Linked DNA regions of Ovis aries. The protein of the gene in region 1 interacts with the protein of each later gene in a pairwise test. Links are inferred from orthologs where the notes say so. Each region holds a gene or a part of one and is shown in the gene's direction. Other genes may lie near its edges.

What was found.
Region 2: the proteins of C1H1orf94 (region 1) and PLEKHB2 interact in binary tests that used the Homo sapiens proteins (3 or more experiments, as listed by UniProt). The two-hybrid records come from large-scale screens. The link is inferred for Ovis aries from reciprocal best matches to the Homo sapiens genes C1orf94 and PLEKHB2.
Region 3: the proteins of C1H1orf94 (region 1) and RBM47 interact in binary tests that used the Homo sapiens proteins (3 or more experiments, as listed by UniProt). The two-hybrid records come from large-scale screens. The link is inferred for Ovis aries from reciprocal best matches to the Homo sapiens genes C1orf94 and RBM47.
Region 4: the proteins of C1H1orf94 (region 1) and BOLL interact in binary tests that used the Homo sapiens proteins (3 or more experiments, as listed by UniProt). The two-hybrid records come from large-scale screens. The link is inferred for Ovis aries from reciprocal best matches to the Homo sapiens genes C1orf94 and BOLL.
Region 5: the proteins of C1H1orf94 (region 1) and MAPK1IP1L interact in binary tests that used the Homo sapiens proteins (3 or more experiments, as listed by UniProt). The two-hybrid records come from large-scale screens. The link is inferred for Ovis aries from reciprocal best matches to the Homo sapiens genes C1orf94 and MAPK1IP1L.
Region 6: the proteins of C1H1orf94 (region 1) and TBX6 interact in binary tests that used the Homo sapiens proteins (3 or more experiments, as listed by UniProt). The link is inferred for Ovis aries from reciprocal best matches to the Homo sapiens genes C1orf94 and TBX6.
Region 7: the proteins of C1H1orf94 (region 1) and CDKN2D interact in binary tests that used the Homo sapiens proteins (3 or more experiments, as listed by UniProt). The two-hybrid records come from large-scale screens. The link is inferred for Ovis aries from reciprocal best matches to the Homo sapiens genes C1orf94 and CDKN2D.

The regions. Positions count from the first base shown.
Region 1 is NC_056054.1:9,116,542-9,120,472, forward strand, and holds the start of C1H1orf94 (uncharacterized protein C1orf94 homolog), read left to right. Parts: upstream 1-1,131; 5' UTR 1,132-1,191; coding exon 1,192-1,517; intron 1,518-3,931.
Region 2 is NC_056055.1:114,936,510-114,940,009, forward strand, and holds part of PLEKHB2 (pleckstrin homology domain-containing family B member 2), read left to right. Parts: intron 1-438; coding exon 439-478; intron 479-1,681; coding exon 1,682-1,771; intron 1,772-3,500. UniProt on the Homo sapiens protein: Involved in retrograde transport of recycling endosomes.
Region 3 is NC_056059.1:60,124,311-60,127,810, reverse strand, and holds part of RBM47 (RNA-binding protein 47), read left to right. Parts: intron 1-2,686; exon of another isoform or gene 2,687-3,014; intron 3,015-3,333; 5' UTR 3,334-3,364; coding exon 3,365-3,500. UniProt on the Homo sapiens protein: Single-stranded RNA-binding protein that functions in a variety of RNA processes, including alternative splicing, RNA stabilization, and RNA editing. Functions as an enzyme-substrate adapter for the cytidine deaminase APOBEC1.
Region 4 is NC_056055.1:200,041,803-200,045,928, reverse strand, and holds the start of BOLL (protein boule-like), read left to right. Parts: upstream 1-1,326; 5' UTR 1,327-1,460; coding exon 1,461-1,481; intron 1,482-4,126. UniProt on the Homo sapiens protein: Probable RNA-binding protein, which may be required during spermatogenesis. May act by binding to the 3'-UTR of mRNAs and regulating their translation.
Region 5 is NC_056060.1:65,599,011-65,603,127, forward strand, and holds the start of MAPK1IP1L (MAPK-interacting and spindle-stabilizing protein-like), read left to right. Parts: upstream 1-1,317; 5' UTR 1,318-1,475; intron 1,476-2,775; 5' UTR 2,776-2,863; intron 2,864-4,117.
Region 6 is NC_056077.1:26,714,251-26,717,059, forward strand, and holds the end of TBX6 (T-box transcription factor TBX6), read left to right. Parts: intron 1-734; coding exon 735-808; intron 809-890; coding exon 891-1,074; intron 1,075-1,176; coding exon 1,177-1,381; 3' UTR 1,382-2,309; downstream 2,310-2,809. Other genes in the region: PPP4C (serine/threonine-protein phosphatase 4 catalytic subunit), read right to left, coding at 2,509-2,638, 2,730-2,809. UniProt on the Homo sapiens protein: T-box transcription factor that plays an essential role in the determination of the fate of axial stem cells: neural vs mesodermal. Acts in part by down-regulating, a specific enhancer (N1) of SOX2, to inhibit neural development.
Region 7 is NC_056058.1:12,923,073-12,927,359, reverse strand, and holds CDKN2D (cyclin-dependent kinase 4 inhibitor D), read left to right. Parts: upstream 1-1,487; 5' UTR 1,488-1,540; intron 1,541-1,810; 5' UTR 1,811-1,825; coding exon 1,826-1,966; intron 1,967-2,929; coding exon 2,930-3,289; 3' UTR 3,290-3,879; downstream 3,880-4,287. UniProt on the Homo sapiens protein: Interacts strongly with CDK4 and CDK6 and inhibits them.

The DNA.
Region 1 (3,931 bases):
TAGCCTGGGGTGCCTGGGTTTGAACCCCAGTTCCCCACTTCTGGGTGGGCCTTGGATACACTCCTTAGAAACTCGGTTTCCTCAAATGTAAAAGGAGAGGACGTAATGGTACTAACTTCATGAGGTTGTTCGGAGTGAATAGGACACAGAAAAAGCCCAGCGCCAGGCACATGGTAAGCCCCCGATCAAATGGCAATGAGGGGTGAAATCAGCGACTCAGGGGCAGCGCCCAGGTGGGTGCGGAGGAGCGGCGGGCCAGGCGGGGGCGCGATGTCCTGGACTTCTAACGAGGGCAAGCGTCCTGGGGTCCTCCGGACCCCGCCCCCACCCCCACCCCCCCACCCCGGAGGGCCTGGAGCACCGACCGAACCCTGGGCGTCCCGCGCACCTAGCCGTTGCGTTTGAAACCCACCAAGGAATTCCAGCGCTGGACGGGAAGCGTCCACAGGCAGGGAGCCACAAGCAGGCAATTTGGCCCAGCCGCCCCGCGGAGAAAGCGCCCGTTTAAGGCTTAGGGACCCTTCCCCGACAATCCCAAAGCCTGGCGAGGCGGGGAGGGGGGTCGTAGCTGGTGTCTGCTGGGGACAGCGGGCGGGCGCTGGGCACTCGGGGACTGTTCCTGCGGGCGGGCAGCTGAGCGGCAGGGAGAGGGAGACCAGAGGGGCCGGTGGGGCGAGCAAAGCGGGGCTCAGCCGGGCGGGGGGCCTGGGAAGACCCTCTCGGGAGAACCCGATGGCGGGCTCCCAGCCCCCGGTGCCTCGCACGATGCCAGGCCCTCACCCCCGCACCCCCAGGCTTAGCGGGCACTGATGGACTGAGCCTAGGGCGGCGTGGCAACGGGTGAGGGCCAGGGACTGTGGGGAGAGCCAGCCCTCCCCCTCCAGCTGTTCCCAGATGTCATTCTGCCCACCCAGGCGCCTGGTTCCTGAGCTCAGGGGGATTCCACGGTTACTAAGCTACTGGTTTTTGTTGACTTTTAAATATTTTCTTCTACGGGAGAGGGGGAGGGGGGCAAAAGTCAGGAAAGAGCAACTAAAAACAGATCAAAATAAGCTCCCCCTCCCCGCAAGAAAGCTGTCCATTCATCTTTCAAACACAAACCAAGGGCCTCTGAACGCAGTCACCTTTCTGGACCAGCGGTCAGCCAGAACTGACCTCCTTCCTCCCCATCCTCACTGCCCTTCCTGGTGAATGAGGGGTGGTGGTGGATGGTCACCCTGTCTTCGAGCCCTGGGTGGACAAAGGGGCTTCTGGAAAGAGAGGAAGAGGATGGCCAGTGGCAATGGGCTGGCTTCGTCCTCGGCCCTGGTGGCCAAGCGCCCCTCCGCCCTAGGCCCATTCCCCAGATACATCTGGATCCACCAGGACACACCCCAGGACAGCTTAGACAAGACTTGCCATGAAATCTGGAAGAGAGTTCAGGGCCTGCCAGAGGCCCTGCAGCCCAGGACCTCCAAGGAGCAGCTCTCTGCCCCCGTGGCTGGCACTCCGAGAGACGGGCTCAGCTTCCAAGAAGAGTGAGTGTGCCCTTACTTCACGCAAGGGAGGAGGGAGGAGATGAGGGCTGACTTTCGGGGTCTGGGGGAAGTGTTTTGACCTGTTGTTCTGCCTGGCTAAACCCTAAAGGCTGTGTGTTTTCCCCCACCCACCACGACCCTTTGACAGTCTTTACAGGAACAAAATGATTGGGGTCCTGAAGTTACCTGGGTGAGGGGCCAGAACAGAACTATATTTCTGCTGCTGTACCAGCCCACTTCGAGGACATTTCTTGTGCAGAGGCATAGACAATACCAAGGTAGATCCGAAGACCTTGAAAAACCACCCTAGCCAGGGAGAAGGTTAGATGTCTGTGGCTTTCCCCAGAGGCAACTAGAATATGCTTCTCCCCTCCCGCCCTGTAAAGCTAGGCATTGGCACAGATGAATTTGGTGGTTTTAAACCACATCTGGAATTCCCTAATACAGGGAGCAGCTGTCCCATTCAGCCTCCACAGAAGCCGCTGCAAGAGCGCACATCAAAATATTTACTGGGAAGGCATTGACATATTCAGAGGACATAATAGAAAATTAAAGTGCGGGAAGATGGCTGTAAATAGCCCGTTTCCTGGATGGGAAATCCTGTATCTGGGAAACACAGAGCTAAATGTTTCTCCACCAGGGCAAATTTGGGCAGATATTGTTGGGGATGGATATATTAGAAAGGAGAGGGAGGAGCAGAGAGGAAGAAAGGACCTTGTTAGGAAAAGCGAATAAATCCACCGAGTTATTAATGTCACCTTTGAGCACGTGTTCACTGCTTTGCATCTTCAAAGTGGGCTGCAAACATTAATTAATCCTCCCAGAGTCCCAATAAGGCAGGTATTCGTGTCCCCATTTTACAGATGGATTAAGTGTTAATAATTAAGTGGTCATTAAAGACTAGGTGATAACTAAGTGTTGCCTGTTCCAACACATGCTCCAGCTCAGCTCAGAGATGCTCTGAAGTGGGGGAACCCTTCAGGCCATTATCAACTGTTTCTGGTTTCAGGGATTTCTACGCAAGAGCTAGGAAAGGCAAAGTGTAACTGCTTCCCAGTTCACACTCCCTGAAGTCTGGTCCTTTTGGGGCTCATTCAGTTACTACACATAAGGGAAGAAGGCACTTTGGCTATTGCTGCCTCTCTGCCCCTGCTCAGCAGGACATGGCTGGGATGGGAATGGCCTGTCTACAGCCAGATTCCTGCTATCTGGCCCTCCGGTGGCACTGAGACCCACTGCCATCTGCTCTGGGACAAGGACTGGGCAGGGGGCCTGTGGGGCTGTGCTCAGCTCTCAATGGCCAAAGAGCTGATTGTCCCCTTTGTGAACCAAGGGTCAGTGGCAGTTTCCAGTAGCTGGCACCCTCTCTGCCAGGACTCACGGAGTTAGTGGAAACAGACTCTACTTCCAGTCTGCACTTGGCTGGAAAGTGAACCTGGCAAACCTTTGGCCGGTCCGTTTGGCCTTGATTTTCTCATCCGCAAATGGAGGGTGATATGCCCTGCCCTGTCCACATTGAGTTGATAATGAGGATCAAATGTGATGGGGACAGGAAACAATCAGCTACATTATCCCAGTGAGGCTGTCCCTAAATGCAGTTCTCAGGGCTTGGAGGTGTGGGTTGTTTTTTGTTGCCTTCGATCTGGGGTTTTCACATGATGCTGATAAATGCTAGAGTACTTCAGAGGCCACCTTCAAGTTGAGTGGCCTGATTCTGGGTCCCAATCCCCACCTCAGCCAGAACTGTTCAGCTTTTATGGCTTTTGCTCACTGGAGTTCAGAAGTAAAGTAGCCAGTCCAGGTCCGATGCATGAGAGAGGGTGCTCAGGGCTGCACTGGGATGACCCAGAGGGATGGGATGGGGCTTCAGGATGGTGAACACATGTACATCCATGGCTGATTCATGTCAATGTACGCCAAAACCACTACAATATTGTAAAGTAGTTAGCCTCCAATTAAAAAAAAAATCATTAAAAAAAAAAAGTAAAGTAAAGGCTGCACTGAAATAAAAGATTCTGCCATAAGAAAAGAGCTGGGAAACCATTGCCGTAGCTGAATAAACGATATCATAATTGTGCAGATATCAACCAAGTAGAACACAATGAGCTATTCTTGAAATAAAGGCAGCTGCGATGGTGGAGTCCGATAGCTCTGGTTTCAGATCTCATTTCAGCCCTGTGCCAGCTGCGGGATTTGTTTAATTGATGTGAGCTTCAGTTTCCTCATCTGCCAAATGGAGATGATTACTATGCATTTCATGGTGTTGTTGGGATGATTAAATGGGATATTTAAACATTTCCAGTAATAACTAGGATTTGTAAAAATTCCTTATAATGATGATGGTGATTTCTTTAAGCCCTGCAATTATTACATGAACTGGGGACTATTTTTAAACTCCCCTTCTTTTGAACTTT
Region 2 (3,500 bases), on another chromosome or scaffold:
TCTCACTTCATCAAGAGGCTCTTTAGTTCTTCTTCACTTTCTGCCGTAAGGGTGGTGTCATCTGCGTATCTGAAGTTATTGATATTTCTCCTGGCAGTCTTGATTCCAGCTTGTGCTTCATCTAGCCCAGCCTTTCACATGATGTACTCTGCATATAAGTTAAATAAGCAGGGTTACAGTATACAGCCTTGATGTATTCTTTCCCAATTTGGAACCAGTCTGTTGTTCCATGTCCAGTTCTCACTGTTGCTTCTTGGCCTGCATACCGATTTCTCAGCAGGCAGGTGAGGTGGCTGAGAACCCCACGAACAATATGAAAAGGGCTAAATGTCTGTTATTAAAACAAGGTTTTTCAAAAATTCTGATGCCACTCCAGGTTTGAGATGGATGTTGGATTGCCTCAGATAAAGTACCTTTTTTTCTTTTTCTTTTCTTTAGGGCCTGGAAATTTACACTCCAGGATTCCAGGACAAACACAGTAAGTTGCTAATGGCAGTCACTTACAATGTTTTCTCATAGTCTTGCTGTAAAAAATGGGAGAATAGGAGGGTGAGAAGGAAAATGGCAGTGTTTTTGCCACTTGGCCCTAGATGAGCAAGCAGAGATAGACAGGCTGAGTTTCACTGACAGCTGGATTTTGGAAAACATTTTGGCAGGAGCCAATCTAACACAGGTACATTAATCCCAGTTTTATTTTTTAGAAATGTCTGTATCTCACAAAGATTTACAGCACTTTGAATTCTGCTGTGGTTTGCAGAGAAAGCACAAAAGGGATTACAGGGCCCTTTCCATGTATAGCATCTCAGCCTGTGAAATAAACATTTTTGAGTCTTGTACTTGTCTCTAGTTTCTTTCGACTTTAGGAGGTAACTGAGACAGTAAACCCCATTTGTAGAGGATAGTGGTACCATCTTTGTGTCTGTCAGGGAGTAAAAGGCAGTTCCCTCCGTGGTCAACATTTTCTTTCATTCTTCAGATAGGATTTTATTTTTTCCTTTATTTCTCTAGGAGGAAAAGAGATAGATGGAGCTTTTTAAATGATTTGTACAGGTGGGAGAAGAAAGTAAAAAGACTTAATATTCAAATGCTATTTTTTACTACTTTTGTTAGCTCAGGACTATTCTTCCCCCTAAGCTTACTCTGAAACTCCCATTGCCTTTTCTTTGATGAAAATCCTCTACTCAAATGAAGTTATTTAGTATTGATGATTCATATAGTTAGGGACAAGAGCCAAGGTGATTCTCTTTGTGGATTTTTTTTTTAAGGAGCGCATATGTTTTTGTTTCCCACTGAGGGGTAATTTAATGCAAGATTGAAAAAGTTTTTAATGTAGAAACCGGATTGTGAGTACAGGATGTATCCCTGCCTGCTACATTTTAGACTGTAGGATTTTTATTTGTGAACAAAAGTCTTGTTGAGAGTGGTATCACATCTTTTAAAGGGCCTGGGTAACACTGGAGGCTCTGGCTTTCTTGGGCAGTGAGAACTCTTTTACCCCCTACTGGTGACTGAGGAGGACCAACTCCTCTTTAATTCAAAGGACACTAAATGCAGGGTTGGGGGCAAGGAGAAGGTCATCTTGCTAGTCATTGCTTCTCAGAGAGTTGTTATATTTCCCCTTCAAAGATTAAACTTTTTGGCCTTTAATTTTTTTTTTTTTTTTCACAATTTCTCTCTTAAGGCTTACGTTGGCTCAGAAGTCATGTATGATGAGACAGCTGTGGCTTCCTCTCCACCTCCTTACACAGCATATGCTGCACCGACCCCTGAGGTAGGGAGCCGATCTTCACTTTACAGAATCCAACTGAGGGAAACTTGGGGTCTCTGTGCCACCATCCTTTTAAAACTAAAAGAAAACTTTGAGCCAAACAGTATTAGAGAAATTAGAAATGTACTTGAAACCCTTTCCTTCTTTAAACTTTTTTCTATCTTAAACAGATTATCTATTGTCTTTTGCTTTTATAAAGCAACTGCTTTATATAATCTTCATGTTCATATTTTCAAGATAGACCCAAAAATGAATCATGGTATTAATAATATGATTCTGATGATTTAAGTTTATACTTAATTTTTTTACTTACTCTTTATAATCAGAAAAATATGCTTTTTTAATTTGAAGATACAAAACCAGAACCTTAAAGTCACATGCCAAACCCCTCTGCTGCTGCTGCTAAGTCACTTCAGTCGTGTCCGACTCTGTGTGACCCCATAGATGGCAGCCCACCAGGCTCCCCCGTCCCTGGGATTCTCCAGGCAAGAACACTGGAGTGGGTCTGGGTGTGCCCTAATTAGAGGGCCAGGGGTTCAGTGCTGCATATGGAAGCCTCTCTCGCGGGAGGCACTTCTGCTTTTTTTTTTTTTTCTTTTTTCATTTTTAATTTGGAAATAATTATAGACTTACAAGAAGTTGCAAAGATAATATGGAAAAATCTCATGTACTCTTTACCCTGTTCCCTAGCTGTTACATGGTAAATAAAATCAAAACCAGATGTTTGAAATTGGTGTAGTGTTTATATCTGGTTCTGTCATTTTATCATGCATGTAGATATATATATCTCCTACCTGTCAAGATGTGAAACTGTTTATAACATCTTCCTACTACACCCTCTTCTAGTCATACCCTCCTTCCCCTTCCTAAACTGCTGTCAATCACTGATTTGTTGGCCGTCTATATAATCGTGTCATTTCTGCAGTGTGTGTAAACAGAATCATATAGCCTGTGATCTTTTGAGTTTGATGTTTTTTTTACTCAGCACAGTGCCCTTGTTGCATTGTTAAATTGCAGCACTCAAATACATGTGTCAGTGGTCTTTTCCTTTTTATTGCTGAGTGGTGTGCCATGATATGAGTGTACCACGTTTTGTATTGAGAGACATTTACCTGTTGGGGGACATTTTCATTGTGCTAGATTTTGGCTGTTACCAGTAAACCTACTGTGAACCCTCATGTACAGGTTGTTGTGCAGACATAAAGTTTTATGCCCAAAAATGCTGTTGCTAAGTTGAATATATTAAAGTATATGATTATTTTTTAAAAAAACTGGCAAACTACTTTCCAGAATTTTTCTACCATTTCACTTTTCCATCAGTAGTGTGTGAAGGATTCATTTTCTTTGTATCCCACCAGCTTTTGGTATTGTCACTGTTTTTTATTTTAATTGTTCAATAGGTATGTAGTGATATTTCATTGTGGTCTTAATTGCATTTCCGTAGTAGTCTGTGATGCTGAACATCTTTTTGTGCTTATTTGCCATCTGTGTATGCTGTTCAAGTAAGCCGTGTTTTCTTGTCTTTTGCTCATTTTCTAATTGTTTTAATTATTTTTTTATTGTTGAGTTTTGAGGGTTCTTATATATGTGAGATAGGAATAATCCTTTGTCAGATGTGTGATCTGTAACGTATCTCTGTATCCTCTTGACAGTGCCTTTCACCGTGTTTAACACAGTCTAATTTGTTGGTCTTTCCTTGTATGGATCGTGCTTTGTTGTCACATTTAACACT
Region 3 (3,500 bases), on another chromosome or scaffold:
CATTGTGGTTCTCAGTTGCTTTTATGTATCTGTAGTGTAAAAATAGTTCATTTAAATACTATACTAATTTATATTTCATGCAAATTATATTTTTTTTTTCCATGGGTATATGCATTTATTCCTCTCCTAACTCCAGAATTATAGAGATGGCTTCCAAGGACATGAAAACAGTTAGATGAATAATATACATAGCTAAATTCATGGCATTGGGTATATAGGAGACTAAAAAAATGAAACTATAGCCAAGATCGGATGAACCTGAGAGTATGCTGTAATGTCTTACACAATTATAAAACTAAAGTGACAAATTCAATTCCAAACCTCCTAGGGTTCAAAGTAAAAAGGGAAGGGGGGCCAGTAACATGATTCATTTATCCCAGATGATGAAAGCTCAGGAAAAAAAGGCTTTTCTTGGCTTGCAGGTGCAAGAGAATAAGCTATAACTACTTACTGAAAGCAACAGATTTTCTGGTGAAATTAATAGGGCTGGAATTGAAAATGACTCCCCTAACCTGGCATTATACAGCTTTTTGTGTGAGTTAAAGAGTAGTTTCAAAGTACAATTATGAAAGTATTAAGAAAAAGTCAACTCTACATCTCTCAGAAGAGATAGAAGGACTATTCCTTTGGACTTTAGTCACTGTTTTATGTAGTTAAACCATGTTAAGATCTTGAATTCCCTCATATGTGTTTATATATATATATATACCTGGCATTTCCTTCCCAGGTCACAGATTATAAATGCATAGGTGTTTGTACAAAGAATCTTCTTATCTTAAGAATATATCCTTATCTTCCTTTTGGAAGGAGGGAAAGATCTTCATGTTCAAATCTGATATGAAATTTCTGCTTCAACACAAAACTCCAGAAACTATATTATTTTCAAATTTAAACCAGAAAAAAAGGCTTCATAATAATTAGATATGCTGCCAAAACAGCTTTCAAGCAACTGAAGAGCAAAGAAAATTAAAAATAAGAATAGCAGCCATATCAAACAGATGTTTTTAAAGAACTGAGAAAGTGTCACAATTACTCTAAAACTAAATTGGTCTGAAGTTTTACCCAGAAGTTTGGATGAAGTGTAATAACTGACATTTCTTGAGCATTTACAATTTCCCAGGCACAGTTCAAAATGCTTGTATGTATTAACTCACTTTTGTAAATGTAACAAAGTTAATACTGTTATCATTGTTCCCATTATATAGATAGGGAAACTGAGGCATGAAGGAGCTGAATATCCTTGCTTCAGGTCATACAACTAGGAAGTGTTCAAGCTAGGATTCACACATAGTCATGCACTCTGGTTCTAGCTCAGTTTGGTTCAGTCGCTCAGTCATGTCCGACTCTTTGCGACCCCATGAACCACAGCACGCCAGGCCTTCCTGTCCATCACCAACTCCCGGAGTCTACTCAAACTCATCTCCAGTGAGTTGGTGATGCCATCCAACCATCTCATCCTCTGTCGTCCCCTTCTCCTGCCCTCCATCTTTCCCAGCATCAGGGTCTTTTCCAGTGAGTCAGCTCTTTACATCAGGTGGCCAAAGCACTGGAGGTTCAGCTTCAGCATCAGTCCAGTGGCCACTCACTAACGCATGAAACTGTACTGCTGCTTGATGTTTCAGCAGACGAACCAAGGTAGTACTGGTTGGCCAACAGGTGAAAACATACATTCTGTTGTGTCCCTATCATTTTTTTTTTCTTTAGATGAGCAAATGTACCTTAATTAACCTTGAAATTTCCCTTAATATCCTGTGTAGAATTCCCAGCAGTACATTTTTAAAAATGAAAAAAAAAAATTTAGTTGAATGATGAAACCATATTCCTATTATAAATCATATTTTTACAGTTTTAAGAATGTGGAGGAATGCTTATAAAATGAAGTAAAGCAGCAGATGTAAATTTGTTGGAAGCCTAACTCCACCACTCCCATTCCCCCCAAAGAAACTATCAAAAGCAAGATGGGAAAGTTTATGTGGCTATCACTGGGTAGGAGAGTTAGGAATAACTTCTTTTTCCTACTTTTTCTTAATTTCCATAAAATTTACTTGAATACTTTAATAGTCCAAAAACATGAAATAAACTTCATTTTTTAAAAAAAAGCTAATCAGAGCTATTCTTTACAAAGGCACAGTAAGAAGCGCCTAGTGATAATCTCACTGTATAATTTTAAATCATTTCTAAGGGTCTTGTTCTGAAGGAATGAAGGTGGCGTGCTTTAGACTTGCACTTATGTAGCTATTTAATTTTAGAAAAAAATGAAAAACTCTGCAATTGTCCCATTTCAAGTATTCAGTAGCCACAAGTGGCTACCGACGGTTTTTTCATCATCACAGAGAGTTCTATTGCCCAGCACTGGTTTAGAAGAAAGAACACAAGATGGCTTGAAATCAAGTCCTGATAGGAGCAGATACCTACTGTGTGAAATGAGTAATTTATTCAACCTCTCTGAGTCTATTTCCCCATAGACAAATTGGGACTAATGATACTGTCACTTACCATGAAAGGAGATTAAGATCAAATAAGATAATGCATGTGACAATTCTCTGAAAACTATCCTGTAGTTTACCAGATAGTTGTTTCAAAAATCCCCAGCCTGAACCTAATCTAGCTCTTTGTGCACTGATTCCAAATCCATGAATGGTTCATAATTGCTGACAGGGAGTGACACCATAAAAATCAGACTTACCAGCTCTTCGCACAGTTCTTCACCCAAGTCCTTCCTTATTGTGGATATTCCATTTCTTCCCTGTAAAAAGCTTCAGCACACAGTTCTGTATCTTCTATAATAACACCTCCTCAGTTTTTTTCCTTAACAATGTAAATACACTGCCCTCTTTCCATTCCTAAATGAAAAAGCCTCTTTAAAAAGAAAGCAAAGAAAGCAGGCTTTGTCTGCCAAAGAAATAAAGGGGGTAAAACGCTATACTAAAAGGAAATCAATCTGAGTTGACAGTGCAGGAATTAAGCAAAAGATGTTGCCAACTGCCTCAAGACGTGAGGTTTGCACCCACAATGACAGCAGGTTCTCTATGCTTCAAAGCTGTTGGGGGTGCTGATTAGGCGGAAGTACCTGCTCCTTCTGATTTTTTTTTTTCCTGAGTCACTTCTGGTTTTTCCTGCAAAACAACTTGCCTAATTTAGACGATTTTAGAGCCGCCGCGCATCCAGAGAAGTCCCCATCTTATTTCTCATTTAACCACCCGAGAGTTAAGCGTGAGTCTTGGATGGCTTTAAGAAAAAAAAAGAGGAAAAGAAGAAAAAAAAATTGTGGTCAAGTTGTGGCTCAACTTGTTGTAGATTCTAGGCTCATCCTCTCCCTCCTGCCTTCCCCAGGTCTCCACCGGCCGTGGATGCCTGTGACATTATGACCGCAGAGGATTCCACCGCAGCCATGAGCAGCGACTCTGCCACAGGGTCCTCTGCCAAGGTGCCCGAGGGCGTGGCGGGCGCGCCCAACGAGGCGGCGCTGCTGGCGCTGATGGAGCGCACGGGCTACAGCA
Region 4 (4,126 bases), on another chromosome or scaffold:
TTTGAACTGTGGTGTTGGAGAAGACTTGAGAATCCCTTGGACTGCAAGGAGATCCAACCAGTCCATTCTAAAGGAGATCAGCCCTGGGATTTCTTTGGAAGGAATGATGCTGAAGCTGAAACTCCAATACTTTGGCCACCTCATGCGAAGAGTTGACTCATTGGAAAAGACTCTGATGCTGAGAGGGATTGGGGGCAGGAGGAGAAGGGGACGACAGAGGATGAGATGGCTGGATGGCATCACGGACTCGATGGATGTGAGTCTGAGTGAACTCTGGGAGTTGGTGATCGGCAGGGAGGCCTGGCGTGCTGCGATTCATGGGGTCGCAGTCGGTCACGACTGAGCGACTGAACTGAACTGAACTGAATCATAGTGCCATAATCACCATAATCATTACAGAAGTTTACCGAGTTGTGATTGTTTAAAATTGGTTATATATGTTTATATACATAAGTAAAGTGTGTGAAGTTGATGACATATGTATTGATGCATAAATGGCAGCTACTTTTCAGAAGGACTTTTTACAAAGCAGACTTCTTTCAAAGGAAATAGAGCCAATCCAGCCAAGTGGCACAGTCCTCACCCCTGGAAGCTCGCAGGTAGATCCATCGCTGACCCGCTGTGCGGCGGGCCGGCTGTGTTCAGCGGGCGGGCTGTGTTCAGCGGGCGCGGGCCTAAGGCGGACGCCGGAGCTCGGACGGGGCGGCGCGGCGGTTCCCTGCCAAGCGGCCCACGCCGCCCCGCCCGCTCGGCTGGGATGAGTGACGGCGACAACAGGTGCGCCGAGGCGTCTGTGGCTTCTCCGGAGCCCCCGAGTTTGGCGCGTCAGGCCCCGGGGGTCAGGCTTTAACTCTGCAAACTGGCCTCCTCTCCCCGCACCAGCCTTACGAAGTCGCCCGTCAACCGGCTTCTTGCACCTTAGTAAAGCAGCCTCTAAACGCACCGCCACCTCTCGAAAACCCACCAGTCCTAGAAGCCAACTTTTCTCCAAAGGGGAGGAGAGGAAAAGGCGTGTGGTGCATGGAGCTCTGCCTAGCCGTTCGCTGTCTCTTCCCCAGCCGTCCGAAAGCAGACGAGAGTGGCTTGAGAATAGAGCCCTCGATCCGCACACCTCACGCCCGCCCCGACCTGCTGCACGCTCTGCCCTTGAGACGGCCCAGCTCGGCGACCACGGGCCACCGCCGAAACCTGCCCGCCCGCGCCCCTCCCGGGCTTGCGGCGCCCGCCCGCACTGCCACCCGCCGCCCGAGGCTACGTCGTCTGCCCCTCCCTATCCCCGCCGGTGGCAGGTTCAGGCCCCGGGTTCGAGTCTGCGCCCTTGCAGCTGCCACCGCCGCCGTCGCCGCCAGGGGGAGAAAGTCTCCGTCGGGAAGCGTGGTGTTGCTTCCCGGGTGTGAAGGTGCTTTCGAACTGTAGGTTTCTGCGCCTTTCCCCCTGGCTTTTGAAGAGCAGAGAGGAAGATGGAGACCGAGTCCGGGGCGGTGAGTACGGCGGTCAGGGCCCAGAGTCCTGGGCCTCGGGCTAGCGGGGAGAAGGAGCAACGTGGACTCGGTCTGTGAGGGGCTGGAAGGACGAGTCTAGAGCTCGCTATTTTGTCAGCAAGAACCGTGGACAGGGCGCCCCATCGACCGCCATGAATAGCGGCCTGCCTGCAGGCCCGGTCGGGTTGTGTAGTGGGGTCAGGCAGGTGCGATGCCGGGCCTGGACTGGTGTAGACCTGCTGGGAGGTTCCGGGAAGTGTGGGTAACCGGGTCCTGTGCACCAGGCTGGGTTCAGGCTAGAGAACCAGCTTTCCCGCCGAAAGTAGGTTCGGCTGCGTCTTTGACGCTCACTCCAGCCACACTCAGCCTAGCCACCCTCATGAGGAGTTGACCAGGTGGCCATCCCCTCCACTTCCCTACCGGTCAGCGGAAACCAGAAGTCCTGAGAGACCTGGTGGGGGGGCGAGTGTGGGTTATATGGGGCACCTGGGCACAGGTTGGACCTGGACACTCGCGCCCAAGCCAGTCTGGGCCGGGTGGGGGAGGGGTGGGAGACCGAGTAGGCCCGAAGGGCTGTGGCAACGTGCCGTCGCGCCCCACCCCGTGCCCGCCGGCAGCCAATCAGCGAGTGCCACGCGATGCGCGCGGGGCCCTGCTACGCACGAGGCCGGCGTCTGGGTCTGTGCCGTTGAGGATTCCCGCCACTGCTTCTGGCGGGTTTGCGGGACAAAATTTCTCGCTGGCTAGCCTTCTTTTCCCTCCCGCACTTTGGTGGGGAGGGGGTGGATCCTCGAATCGGTGGTCCAGTTCACGATGACTTGAGAGAAACTGAGGAAGTTGTTGCTGCGGCCATTTCCTCCAGCACTTCAGCTTGCTGGCCTCGGAGGGGAAGGAGCGCCGAGTCCTTGACTGCGACGGTTAGCCCGTCTTTTTCCTCTTCTCTTCATTGGCAGAGTAGATGATAAATTTCGAGGTTAATTCTCCAGGGGAGGAGGCAGTGGGGGCACATTACTTTGGAGGAAATTTTAAATAAACTTTTTAGTACTAGAAGTTTTACTAAGCTAAGGACCCTTACTGCTTGCCCCAAAACAGCACCTGGCTAGGTGCTTTTCATACATTTGCAAAATTTTGCTGGCAGAATTTGAGGCATTCTGAATTAACTCAATAAATCGCTAACTGTCTCTAAGGAACTTAAAGATTGCCTCTACCTGAGCTTTGTTACTTCCAAGATTAAAATATTTTCTAGGGTTTTATTCATGTTGTAGTCTTCAGCCCACAACCTAAGGGTTGGTGAATCGTGAGCAAGAGGAAATTATTTATTCTTCATTCAACAAATGTTTATTGAACACCTGCTATATATGGTCTTAGATACTGCGGTGAACAAAACAAGCAAAGTCCTTTTTTTGAACATTACAATATAGTGGAAAGAGATGACAAACGTAGTATAAATTACATAGTGTGTTGGAAAGTGATTAGTGGTAAAGGGAAAAAATAGTTGGAACCCACAATAGAATAGGAACGTTAAAAATTGAACAATGATGTGAATAGCATGTACAAAGTTCGTGTTTTTCCTTCCTCCGTGTTGAGGATTTCTTAAGATTGGAAATAAAGCACTTTGTTCTCTTCCATTCATGTCATTTTTCTCTCATAAAAATAAAACCAGTGGAGTTTTATTTAAATAAATTTGAAAGCAAAAGAGTTCATCCATTGAATTATTTTGTTTTAAAGAAGAGAATTTCATGAATTTTTTTTAAATTTTGCAGATAAGTAATTTTTGCATTCTCTAAACAAATAGGCAGATAGAGTAGATTGTTTCTGCCAGAGCTGTTCAGTTATCTTTAGCAATACAAATCCACAATTGAAAAGTAAAACAAAACATCCCAGAATCATCCAGTCTGGCACTATGTCTTACAGGTGACTGAAGTTATAAATTAACTTTCAAATGCCCTGAGAGGATGCTATTAAGATTGGTTTCCCAGTTTTAACTGGCAGCTACAACAGAGCAATTATTAAATATGATGACTTTGTGGTTTAAAAGATATTTTTATGAACTCCCTTACTAGGGAGCGTTTTTCCTTCTTAAGACTAGATGGACAATAGACCCCAAAAGCCTATAGCCTGGTAGTCACCACTGGCCTAGATATTTCTCTGTACATCTTGCAGAGATTAATTTTTAGGGATTATGGCTTATTGGCTAGTAAAGTGAAAGGAGAGCAGTGTGAAAAAGAACAACTCCATTATCTAAGTGGGAAATTCATTTTCATGAGTTTGTTTTTCAGAGAATTTAAGTCGTGAACTTCAAGCTTTTTGAAGCACTCTTCGAGTGTCTCAGAAGTCTCTTTAGTGTTCTTATAAGGAAAATAGGAAGTTGTTATATTTGTTTCTCTTTAAAATTCTATTCCCAAGTCTTGTTTTTTTTCCAGTGTACCTTAAGAGTCTATCTACTATTTTGTTATTGTGCAAAGGCATATATGTTAGTTGTTATTGTTTTTATAGTTGCTAAGTCATGTCCAACGGTTTGCAACCTCATGGACTGTGGACCACCAAGCTCTCCTGTCCGTGGTATTTTTCAGGCAAGAATACTGGCATGGGTTGCCATTTTCTTCTCCATTACTTGTTAATACGTATTTATTAACATCTGAATT
Region 5 (4,117 bases), on another chromosome or scaffold:
CTCCAATGCATGAAAGTGAAAAGTGAAACTGAAGTCGCTCAGTTGTGTCTGACCCTCAGCGACCCCATGGACTGCAGCCTTCCAGGCTCCTCCGGCCAGGGGTTTTCCAGGCAAAAGTACAGGAGTGGGGTGCCATTGCCTTCTCCAATATGCTGTCTAGGTTGGTCATAACTGCTTCCAAGAAGTAAGCGTCTTTTAATCTCAGGGCTGCAGTCACCATCTACAGTGATTTTGGAGCCAAAAAGAAAAAAACGAACGTCTGCCACTGTTTCCCCATCTATTTGCCATGAATTGATGGGACCAGATGCCATGATCTTAGTTTTCTGAACGTTGAGCTTTAGGACAAATTTTTCACTCTCCTCTCTCACTTTCCCCAGGCTTAGGTGTTCGAAGTTTCTCTATCGCTCATTTTTCAGTATGGGAATTACGTGTGCTGTGGAATAAACCCACATAAGTCTTCGTTTAAGAAGCTAATAGTAAAACGTCCACCCTCCAATCCACTAACAGCAAGTGAAAATAAAATCTAATAATACTGCATACGTTTTAATTTTTACACTAAAACATATGTACGTGTTATATATGTATATTTTGCACAACACGTAATTATGACATCTTCATTGTTAGCTAGCACATTCCCTGACCGCTGCGGTCAGACCCCTTTGGGGTCTGTCACAGAGTAGATAGGTAAAGGTTTATTCAAAACTAAACTACGGGGAGAAAAAAATATTGATCAGAAAAAACCTGCAAAGATATCCATTCCTTTTGTTAATATCAATTTGTCAAGCCATTTGCAAACGTCTTCACTTTTCTGCAGTGTTGCTTTACATAGAATATATAAAAGTCACTCAGTCGTGTCCGACCTTTTGCGACCCCATGGACTGTAGCCCACCAGGCTCCTCCCTCCAGGGGATTCTCCAAGCAAGAGTACTGGAGTGGGTTGCCATTTCCTTTAGCTCTCCACAATTTTGGCCAACGGATCTGTGCCCCGGGTTAGAAGGCATTCACATCTAGCCAGCTTCGAGGCCTAACTCTCAAATGCCGCAAGTGTAGGGAATCCAGAACTTGCTTTCAAGCCTCTCCAGGAGACAATTTCCTCCAGGCTGCCAGAGCGCAACTCGCCACTGGCGTTTCCTTTAGACACTCAGAACTCCGGGAAACTAGGGATCTTTCCTCCCGCCCACCGAGAGAAAAACAGCCGAGCAGCCGTGGACTGGCTGGCCGCAGTTCCACCGGGGCCCTGAGGAGGGCGCGCGCGGCCGGGCCCCGCCGACCAGTGGGGAGGCGGAGCCGGGTGGGGGCAGCGCGTCCGAGCACGGCGCTTCCTGTTCCGGCGCCAGGAGGAGCCGCGCGCTGCTGGTGCTGCTGCCGCCCCCGTCTCCGCTGCCGTCGGTCGGGCTACGCTCGGTTCTTCAGCGCCCAGTTCTCGCGGACCCATCGCCACTTCTAGATCTTGCTGCGAGTTCGAATCTTGCCGGGTGAGGCTGCCTCGGCGCTAGGGGGGTCATGGAGGAGAGCGAGGGAGCCCGCCCAAGCGGGACGCGGGGACAGTAACGGAGGTGCCTCAGACGCCTCTTCGCGGGGGCCGGGGGCTAAGAGTCTCTCCCCGTGGTTTTCCTCTCCGCTGTGGGCAATCAGCCCGCTAGGCCCCCAAGGAGAGGGCGTCGGGGGCGGGTGACGTCGTAGCGATGGATTTCTCGGCGGGTGACGTCAGGCCTGGCTCGGGGGGCGGGGCGGGGAGCGGGCCTGGCCCCTCCCCCACCCTTTCCCGGGCGGGCGCGACCCGCTCGGAGGCCGGTTCGCTCCGGTTAATCCCGGACTCCTTTTGTTCGCTGGGCTCTGAAGGGCTACCCGCCTAGCGCCCCTTGGCCCCGACTCCCTCCCCTACTCATTAATTGCTAAGGAAAGGGAGAGGAAGGCTGAAAGATTCTTGTAGGAGTCTTTGGCGCTAGTTTAAGATTATTCGCAATATGAGGTTTTGCTCATCTTTTTTTTTTTTTGTCATCATTTTCTAGAGGAGTTCCTAGCAGATACTCAGATGAATATCCATGACAAACTGAGAAGTGTTGAGTTCTGTAGTGCTCCCTTATTTTAGGATTTAGGAGCGCCTGGTGGCTTTGGACCGTTTTCTTCTGAAAACCAAGAGTAGCGCTTTTAATAAATGGGGATAGTAATGTTGAAGCATGGAAGCATACTCATCTGACAGAAGACGAAAAACATTTTTATAGGGTTGCTACTAAAGAAATACACGCTCGTACGCTTCATGGCTGTGAGTTTGTTTTGAAAACGAACCCTCCATTAAAGACGAAGTTACCCTTCAGAAATCTTTCAGAAGCTCTTTGTTCGGGAATAGTGGTCTTCGGGCAGGAGGAATAGACATTTTTCTCAATACGAGTGTCTCTGAACTTTCTATTCAAAGCTAGTTTGTTTCAGAAACTTGAGTTATGTGTACTGGAATGTCCCTTTTTCTCTCTCCACGAGGAATGGAGACCCAGAGACAGCCCCTTAACTGAAATCCTTGGGACCAGTGTGTTTTGGAATTCAGAAATCCTAAAATTTTATCTTTAGGTTTTAGAAAGACGATAAGGTACAAAGACGAGAGATCACACCAGCGGAGTCGGGGCAGCGTCCCCAATCCAGCATTAATATTTGTGCAGCGATGAAAAGTGAAGTCGCTCAGTCGTGTCCGACTCTTTGCGACCCCATGGACTGTAGCCTGCCAGGCTCCTCTGTCCATGGGATTTTCAGGCTGGAGTGAGTTGCCATTTCCTTCTCCAGGGGATTTTCCCGACCCAGGGATCGAACCCAGGTCTCCCACATTGTAAACAGACGCTTTACCGTCTGAGCCACCAGGGAAGTCCACCAAGTAAGTTTTATGTCAAACGGGAACACTTCTTTCATTTCTAGAAGTTTCTAAATTGAGAACTGCAGGTAAAAATTTACAAACCTATCATAGCAATTTGTAGAAACTGACACCTGTTGAGTTTTTGCTACGTGCCAGACGGTGACCAGGAGATTTATTGTGTAAGTCTCACGGCAAATCTGTGAGGTGGATACTACTGTCAGCTTTCACCTCTGGGGTTGGCACAGCTTGGCTTGTCCAGAGCCCACCAGTGAACTGCAGCATTACCTAGTTTTAAATACTTGTGGTGTGCACGCCTTTATTTTTCTAATGCTTTTTTAGTTGAAGGATAATTGCTTTACAGTATTGTGTTGGATTTTGCCATACATCAGCCTGTACTAGCCATAGGTATATACATATGTCCCCTCCTTCTTGAACTTCCCTCCGACCCCCCTCCCCAGGCTTGTAGCCATATGCAGTAGCCCGTACACCGAGGAAGAGAAGATGATATGTTTATTTATGTTCTCTAGGCACTTTTACTATAGGCACTTGATTTACCAGTCCCATTTAGTCCTGACCCATTTAGCCCTGACCTTAAGGACCCATTATTATAGTTGAAGTAACAGGTTCATTGAGGTGAGCTATCTCTGAGATGGTCAAACTTTGGTCTAGAGACTCTCTGGTTGAAGCTTTCATATTCCTCCCCTTTCTACATTGCAGCCAATCTGATCTGCTTATATGTCCCTGCCCCAGCTTTTGCACAAACTGCTCCTTTCCCTAGGGCCTACCCCAGGTCTTTTTGTTCTCCCACACTGCAAAGACAGGACTCCTCAGGATTCCTCCCTTGATAATCCTTTCCTTGATACCTTTAGGAGCTCTTCAGGGTGCTCCCATAGTGCCCTGCACTTACCGCAGGTAGCCTACTGTTTAAATGGTAGTTCTCCACCAGACTGAACTGCCATTAAGTGTTTATTCCACCTAAGACTATTCATTTCCCCAAGGCCCAATGCAGTACCAAGCACTTAGGTTCCAATAAATATGAGTGTAGAAAATAGGACTAACAGGACCTTGTTGAAAAGTTATTTTTTTAATTACATATTTTTAAGTAATTTAAAATGTTCAAAAACATGCAGATCCCAATTTCTTAAGTTGTCCAAATGTAAAACAGAGTGTTAGCTAATAAATGACAATACTAGAAACTATCACATAAAAATGCTCATTCAAAATTTATATTTTCAGTACAATATATTTCCAGTATTCTTTCCCCATACTAAACAA
Region 6 (2,809 bases), on another chromosome or scaffold:
AAAGAAAGCAAAAAGATCAGGACTGGAGAGATGAGTCCTGGAAAGGCCTCACTAAGAGGACATTTGAGAAGACTCGGAGGAAGTATGGAAGGGAACCATGTGAGTATCTGGGAACATGCCAGGGGCCTGGGGTAGGAGCATGCTACAGTATGGCTGGTGTGGAGTGAGAGGTAATAGGAGCCAGATTATGGTGGGCTGTAAAGTTTTGGTTAGGACATTAGCTTCTTCTAACTAACCCTAACCCCTCAGAGCTGGCCCTTGCCCTCAAGACACTTAGAATCAGGCAGAAGAGAGAGATATTAACTTAAGGATCACCCTGATGAATATGATAAATGTAACAGTATCGCTCTTGACAAGTTATCAGGGTAGCCCAGTGGAAAGAACCTGCCTGCCAATGCAGATGTGAATTTGATCCCTGGATCAGGAAGATCCCCTGGAGAAGGACATGGCAACACACTTCAGTATTCTTGCCCGGGCAATCCCATGGACAGAGGAGCCTGGCGGGCTACAATCCATGGGGTCACAAGAGAGTCCAATACAACTTAGCAACTAAGCAACTACTGTTTTCCAGTCATTTAATTCTCTGTCCTTCTATTCCTTTTTCTGTAAAATGGGTATAATAATGGCACCTACCTGATAGGGTCCCTGGGTGAAGTGCCTGGCACCTGGTAAGTGCCATTATTACCATCATCATCACCATTATCATCATCACCATCATCATCACTGTCCCCCAGGGAGCGAGACGCCCGTGTGAAGAGGAAACTGCGGGGCCCAGAGCCGGCAGCCACAGCAGGCTATGGGAGTGGAGGTGAGTGTCATTCCAGAGGTGATGGGACCAGGCCTGAGATGCCGATCCTCCTTAACCCGCTCTGGCCCTTCTGTCTCCCCAGATGCTCCAGGTGGTCCCTGTGATTCCACACTGGGTGGGGATGTTCGGGAGTCAGATCCAGAGCAGGCCCCAGTGCCTGGGGAAGCTGCCCCTGCCCCAGCTCCTCCCTGCAGTGGCCCCAGTGCTGAGGCCTACCTGCTGCACCCTGCCGCTTTCCACGGGGCCCCCAGTCACCTTCCAATCAGGTGAGTGGGTCAGCGGCACAGGGCTGGGCTGTTCCAGGCTGAGACGAGGGGGTGGTCCCCTCTCCCCTGTCCTGATACCTCTCCGCTCTTCGGGAATCCCAGCTTCCCGGAGGCTCCAGACTCTGGGCGCCCAGCCCCCTACTCAGCCGCCTTCCTGGAGCTGCAGCCCGGGCCAGCAGGCTCAGGATACCCAGCAGCAGCACCCTCAGCATCCTTTGCCTCGCACTTCCTCCAAGGGGGCCCCTTCCCACTGCCCTACCCTGGGCCTGGAGCTTACCTGGATGTGGGCTCCAAACCAATGTACTGAGCCTTTGCTAAGCCCCCTGCCTCCCTCCCCATCTTCCAGTTCCCTTCCCCCAGGCCTGTTGCCCCCTCACTTCCACTACCCCCTCCCCCACACCAAATGGCTGCCTTGGGCCTCCCCCACCCCACTTCACACTTTGATTTCACTCCCACCCCCTCTGGCTTCAAAGCTCTGGCTAAGCCGCTGGGAGTCCAGCTGGGGCCAGCTTCCCCTTCCAGGCTCTCACCTCGGTGTGAATGGAGGGGCTCTGCCTGGCCAAATGGGGCCTGGGACCAGCACTCCCACCCCCAGCCTCACCCTTGGGCTCTACAAGTCCTACCCCCTCCCCAGGGCGAGCCACACGGGTCTGTTCTCAGGTCCAGAGTATTTTTGTTAATAAAACTCGAAAGACGTCAGTGCTCTGGAAACACTATGGTCTTTGGCCCTGAGTGGGGCTGGTTGAGCAGAGGTTTTGTGAGGAGACGCAGGCCCCAATCAAGACTTGTCATTTCCAGCTGCTTGACCTTGTGAATCTAACTAAGTCAATGCTCAGGGTCTGCTTCCTCTTCAGGAAGATGGAGGAATCTGTCTTGACATGACATTCTGAGAATTAAACAGGGCTGCCCGAGAACCCAGCCCTCTCCCTGGCACTCAGGAAACCCCCAGCAGTGATCACTGTCACTGGATGGGGACCAGGAGGCTCTGGGCAAGCTAACCGGCCTGAGCCTCACCTTGCTGGCAGGATTAGGGTTCTGGGGCATCAAAGTCCTGATATAAATCCCAGGTCCAAGGCCGGTACCACTGCTCATACCCAGTCAACACCAACCGAAAGACCATTTTTCTTCTTTTATTAGAATTTTTTTCTTTTTTTTTTGTTTTCTCAAAATTTTTATCTAAAAACAAACCAAAAAAAAAAAAAGAAGGAAAAAAAGAAAACCAAAATTATTGGAAACTTCATGGTTCAAGTGGGGAGACGGGAGGAGGAGCATGGAACTGAGGCTCCCAGCCTCTCCAGAAAAGTCCTCACCCTCGAAGTGCCCTCTGTTGCAGGGAGAGCAAAGCCGGGGACAGCCCCCCCCATGCCCAGCCTCCGTCTGAAGAGGGCAGAGTCACAGTGGTCCGGGGGCCGGAGGGGGGCAGGGCCGAAGGGGTCACAGGAAGTAGTCGGCCACAGGCTTTTTGGAGGGGATGCCCCGTGTCTCTTGGGGAGCGGCCTCGAAGATGATGAAATCTTTCTGGAGATGCTCATCCAGCTCCAAGATGGCTGCCACATTCCCACAGCTGGAAGTCGGGGGGAAGGCGGGGGCAGCAGTGTTAACAGCGTGGCTCAGCCTGGATCCCTACCTCAACCTCCCCAGCCCAGGCAGCTCACCGGTAGCAGTAGTTGGGTGCCGACCACACAGTGAGTACAGTCTCGTTGAAGTGCCACTTGTAACCTTCCATCACCAGTTG
Region 7 (4,287 bases), on another chromosome or scaffold:
GAGTGGGCAACATATCCATTTCTCAGCCCTGGTCATCTCTCAGCTGGGCCCTCGCAATTGCTCCCACCTTGGGCTCCCAGGCTCTGGGCTTCCCTCTCCCATGACAGCCAGTTCCCATCATAGCCACCAGAGGGCGCCTATTAACTCCTAAACTAGACCGTGGCTCCTCAATACAGAAGCTTCCCAGGGTTCCACCCATTGATTTCTGTCGTTTTGAGCAGCTTGAGGGACCGTAGTTCCCCGACCAGGGATTGAACCTGGACCCCCTGCAGCAGATGCGCGGAGTCTTAACCACTGGACCGCCAGGGAAATTCCCCATTCTTTTTAAAAAGTAAAAGTGCTCACCACAGCCCACACACCTGTTCACCCCTCACCTCCTCCCCCTTCTCTCCCTCTCTATACCTCGCTCTTCCTGGACTTACTAGACATGGTTACAGCTCAGGGCCTTGGAATCTGTAGCGCCTCCACCTGGTATGTTTTTCCTGAGAGACACACGGCTCCTTCCCTCACCTTCAGGTCTCAAATCAAATGTCACCTTCTTAGGGTGGCCATGCCCGACCTCTCTATTTCAAAGCCTTCTTTTCCCAAGACACCATTATTTATCTCATTTTGTCAGCTCCACAGTGTATAGCACTCTGAAAATATTTATTGTCGTCTCCAGCTCTAAAAGGTAAGTATCCAACAGTCAGGAGGCACCTGGCTTGCTTTCTACTGGGGTGCATAGTACACAGTAGCAGGTCGGTAAATGTGTGAAGGCCCCGCTATTGAAGGCCTCTGTTAAGAGCCTGCGACGCGACTCTCGCCTCCCAGTCTCACCCACGTGGCAGCTGGTGAATGAACTTTCTTCCACACCCTTGCATTTGCTGTGCCAGGGCTGGCGCAATCTGAGCCAAACGTGATTCCTTTTTCACTCACCCCATTTCCATGCTTTATTTTCCTCACGGTGCTTAACACTAAAATTACTCAGTAGCTCGAATGCAGGACCCCCAGCGCCAGGAACGGCTCCAGCACACAGTGAGTGAATGAAATAAAGCACTTTGCACAGTAAGAACTAACGAATATTATCGCACCGCATAACTCCAAACTGGGCGGTCCCAGCCCTGCCTCCTTTTCCCTCGGAAGTGCCGAGGTCCCGGAGCAGCCCGCGCTACCCTGCGCCTGACCTTTCTCCCCTGGGTCAGTTAAACGGGCCCTCTTTCCCGCCCGCCCGTCGCTTTTGAAAAACCGAAAACCCCGCCATTGTTCGCGGTTCACCGGTCGCCGCAGTTCGTCCAATCAGAAGCGGGCCCGCCCACGCCGGCGCCCAAAGCCTCCCTGGCAACGCGTGGCCATTGGCTGCGCTGGCAAGGAGGGCGGAGCACTACAGGGTCGGGAGCCGGGCATCGCAGCTGGGCTACAACGTAGCAAGTTCATAAGAAAACAAATCCGCGGAGTTTGGGGGCGGGGCCGCGAGAGCTCTGGCTCCGCCCCCTAGCGGCCTGCTCCGCAGCGGCGGAGACGCTGGCTCAGAACAGACCCCGCCCGAAGAGGAGGAGGGAGGGTGAGTTGGGGGGAGACCCGGCCCCCAAGGGGCGGGCGCCGGGCAGGGCCCAGCGGGCTAGCGGAGGGTTGGGCCTGGGCTCTCAGCCCCTCTCTACCCACCGGCTGACAGGGGGAGGAGCCGGCCGGGAGGGCGGGGGTCGCGCCCGAGACCCGGACAGGAGAGTCCGACCTCTTTGCAGGCCGGCGACGCTGCGGGAGGGCTGTTCGGGCTAGCGCCGGTGGGCTCCCCCTCACTGACCGCCGCGGGGTGGGGCGGGGGGCTTCGCAGGCCGCCAGTATCGACATGCTGCTGGAAGAGGTCCACGCCGGCGACCGGCTGAGCGGGGCGGCGGCCCGAGGAGACGTGCAGGAGGTGCGCCGCCTTCTGCACCGCGAGCTGGTGCACCCAGACGTTCTGAACCGCTTTGGCAAGACGGCGCTGCAGGTGAGCCCGGGCAGGCCCGCAGACCCCTTCCCTCTTCTCTCCTTGTTCCCGTTGGTAGCCGACTGAGGTCTGTTCCTGCGTCTCTGGGCTGACTTGGCTCCCTAATGTCCCCTTTCTTAGGTGGGTGGTGGATGGGGTTAGGTTGGGGGGAGGGGAGAGCTTTCCATCTTTGGAGGATTCCTTGTTCTCTGATTGCGAAGGATTCAGTTTCCCTGGAGAAGTTCTTATTCCCTGGGTGAGGGTTCACCTTCTTTGGATCCGAGTTTCATGAGGGCAGCTCCAATGTCTTGGAGCATCTATGGACGATCCGACCGCAGGAAGGAAGGATTCCTGTTTCCAAGGTGTACCCATTTTCAGGGGGTTCTCTGCGAGGTATCCAGTTTCCTGTGGGGGAGAATCTCTATTCCCGCGGGGTTTTCTTACTGGCATATTTGGGGAGGGGGATACCAATAAGGGAGTAGTCACAGATTACATGGGAGTCCGTGTTCCCTTGGGGACATTTACAAAAGGGGAACCCCATTTCATCAGAAAGGATCCCTACTATATGGGAGGGGGAAATTCCTTGGAGGAGTTTTAAATTCCCTGGCCATCTCCATTTCCTGGAGGGGACTGTTCTCTGAGGTCTGTTTCCTGGTGGGGTTCATAGTTCCTGATGATTTCCCATCTGTGGGGAGAAGTGTCTCTGGTTCCTTGGGGGAGGGTCTTAGTTTCCTTCAAAATTTCCACGGGGGTATACCCTAGCGGGGGGCGGGGGGTGACCAGTTTTTTGAAGTTCCTTATTCCCGGGAGATCTTGTTCTCTGGGGTCTCAACAGCTGCCTGAAAGTTTTTGTTCCCCGGAGTTTTTCCTTCTCTTGAGAACCTTGTATCTGGCATTGTCAACCCCTCTCTCCAGTCACCCGTTTCCCCAGACCTCCTCCTTTGGAGACTCCCTGACCCTTCTCTACCCCCATCCCCCCACCAGGTCATGATGTTCGGCAGTCCCACCATTGCCCTGGAACTCCTGAAGCAAGGCGCCAGCCCCAACGTCCAGGACGCCTCGGGCACCACTCCGGCCCACGATGCAGCCCGCACTGGATTCCTTGACACCCTAAAAGTGCTGGTGGAGCACGGTGCCGATGTCAACGCACCCGATGGCACCGGGGCGCTCCCCATCCACCTGGCAGTGAGAGAGGGCCACACCCCTGTGGTCAGCTTCCTGGCTGCCGAGTCTGATCTCCATCACAGGGACGCCAGGGGGCTCACACCCCTAGAGCTGGCACGGGGGAGAGGGGCCCAAGAGCTCATGGACATACTGCAGCGGCACACAGTGGCACCCCTGTGACCTGGGGCCACCCACTCCAGCAGCAGGACCCAGCTGAGTTCTGTGTCAGAAGAGGGAAGAAACACTTTCTCCTTTTGCTCCTCCTGCCCGCGGCCGAGGGGCACCGGTTTGTGGCTTGTTGGTGTTGATTTCTGGGGTGTGTGTGTTTGACGTGCATTTCTCGTTTTTTTTTCTCACCCCTTTCGGTGTGTTGGGCAGAGAAGGGCTCCTAGAGGCAACAGCCACCTGAACGGTTCAGTTTCCTCCACGCCTACAGACTGAGTCCCAAGGGCAGAGCGTTTAAAACCCCAGCCCTCGAGAGTGAGGGAGTGAGGTCATCTCTTCCAAGGCTCTTGGAACCTGTCGACCTTGGCCGGCTTACGGAGAGAGACCTCAAGTGTGCACACTGCTTTCCGGCATGGGGGAGGGGGGAGTGTTCCAAATCGATAAAAGGGTAGTATGAGTTCATTAATATTTTGTTGAAAGCTTCATTTCCAGTCCCTTTGTACAGCGTTTAAAAAAAAGTCTATTTATTAAGCTTTATAGAAAATATTGTTGTGTGTGTAATTTAATGTTTTTACCCATTAAATTAAGACTTGTGCATGACCACAGCTCTAGTGGCTTGTCATTTTTGATACGCGATGGAGAGTCGCGTATCCTGGATGTTTGTGGGGATGGGCCCTGGGGGTCGAGGATCGTGGATGCTTTGGAGGAGGGGAGAGAGTGGTAATTCCCAGGGCGCCAGGGGTGAGTGAGTTGGGTGGGGCAGCGGTTTACGCTGTCGGAACGGAAGGGAGGCAGGAAACCGCGAGTGGAGAAAGGGCCCCCAGATGTCAGCTGGGTGCCGGGAGCCCCGAGGGTGGGGGAGTGGGATGGGCGGTGGCTGCAGCCTTCCCCGCAGAGGCGTGGCTCGTGGGCGGGGACTGCGGTCCCAGGGCCAGGGATCCCGGAAGGGCCCGGGGCAAGGTTCTGGGCGGCCCAGGAGGCTCCGCCCCTATTTAAAGTAAACTGTGCGTAGC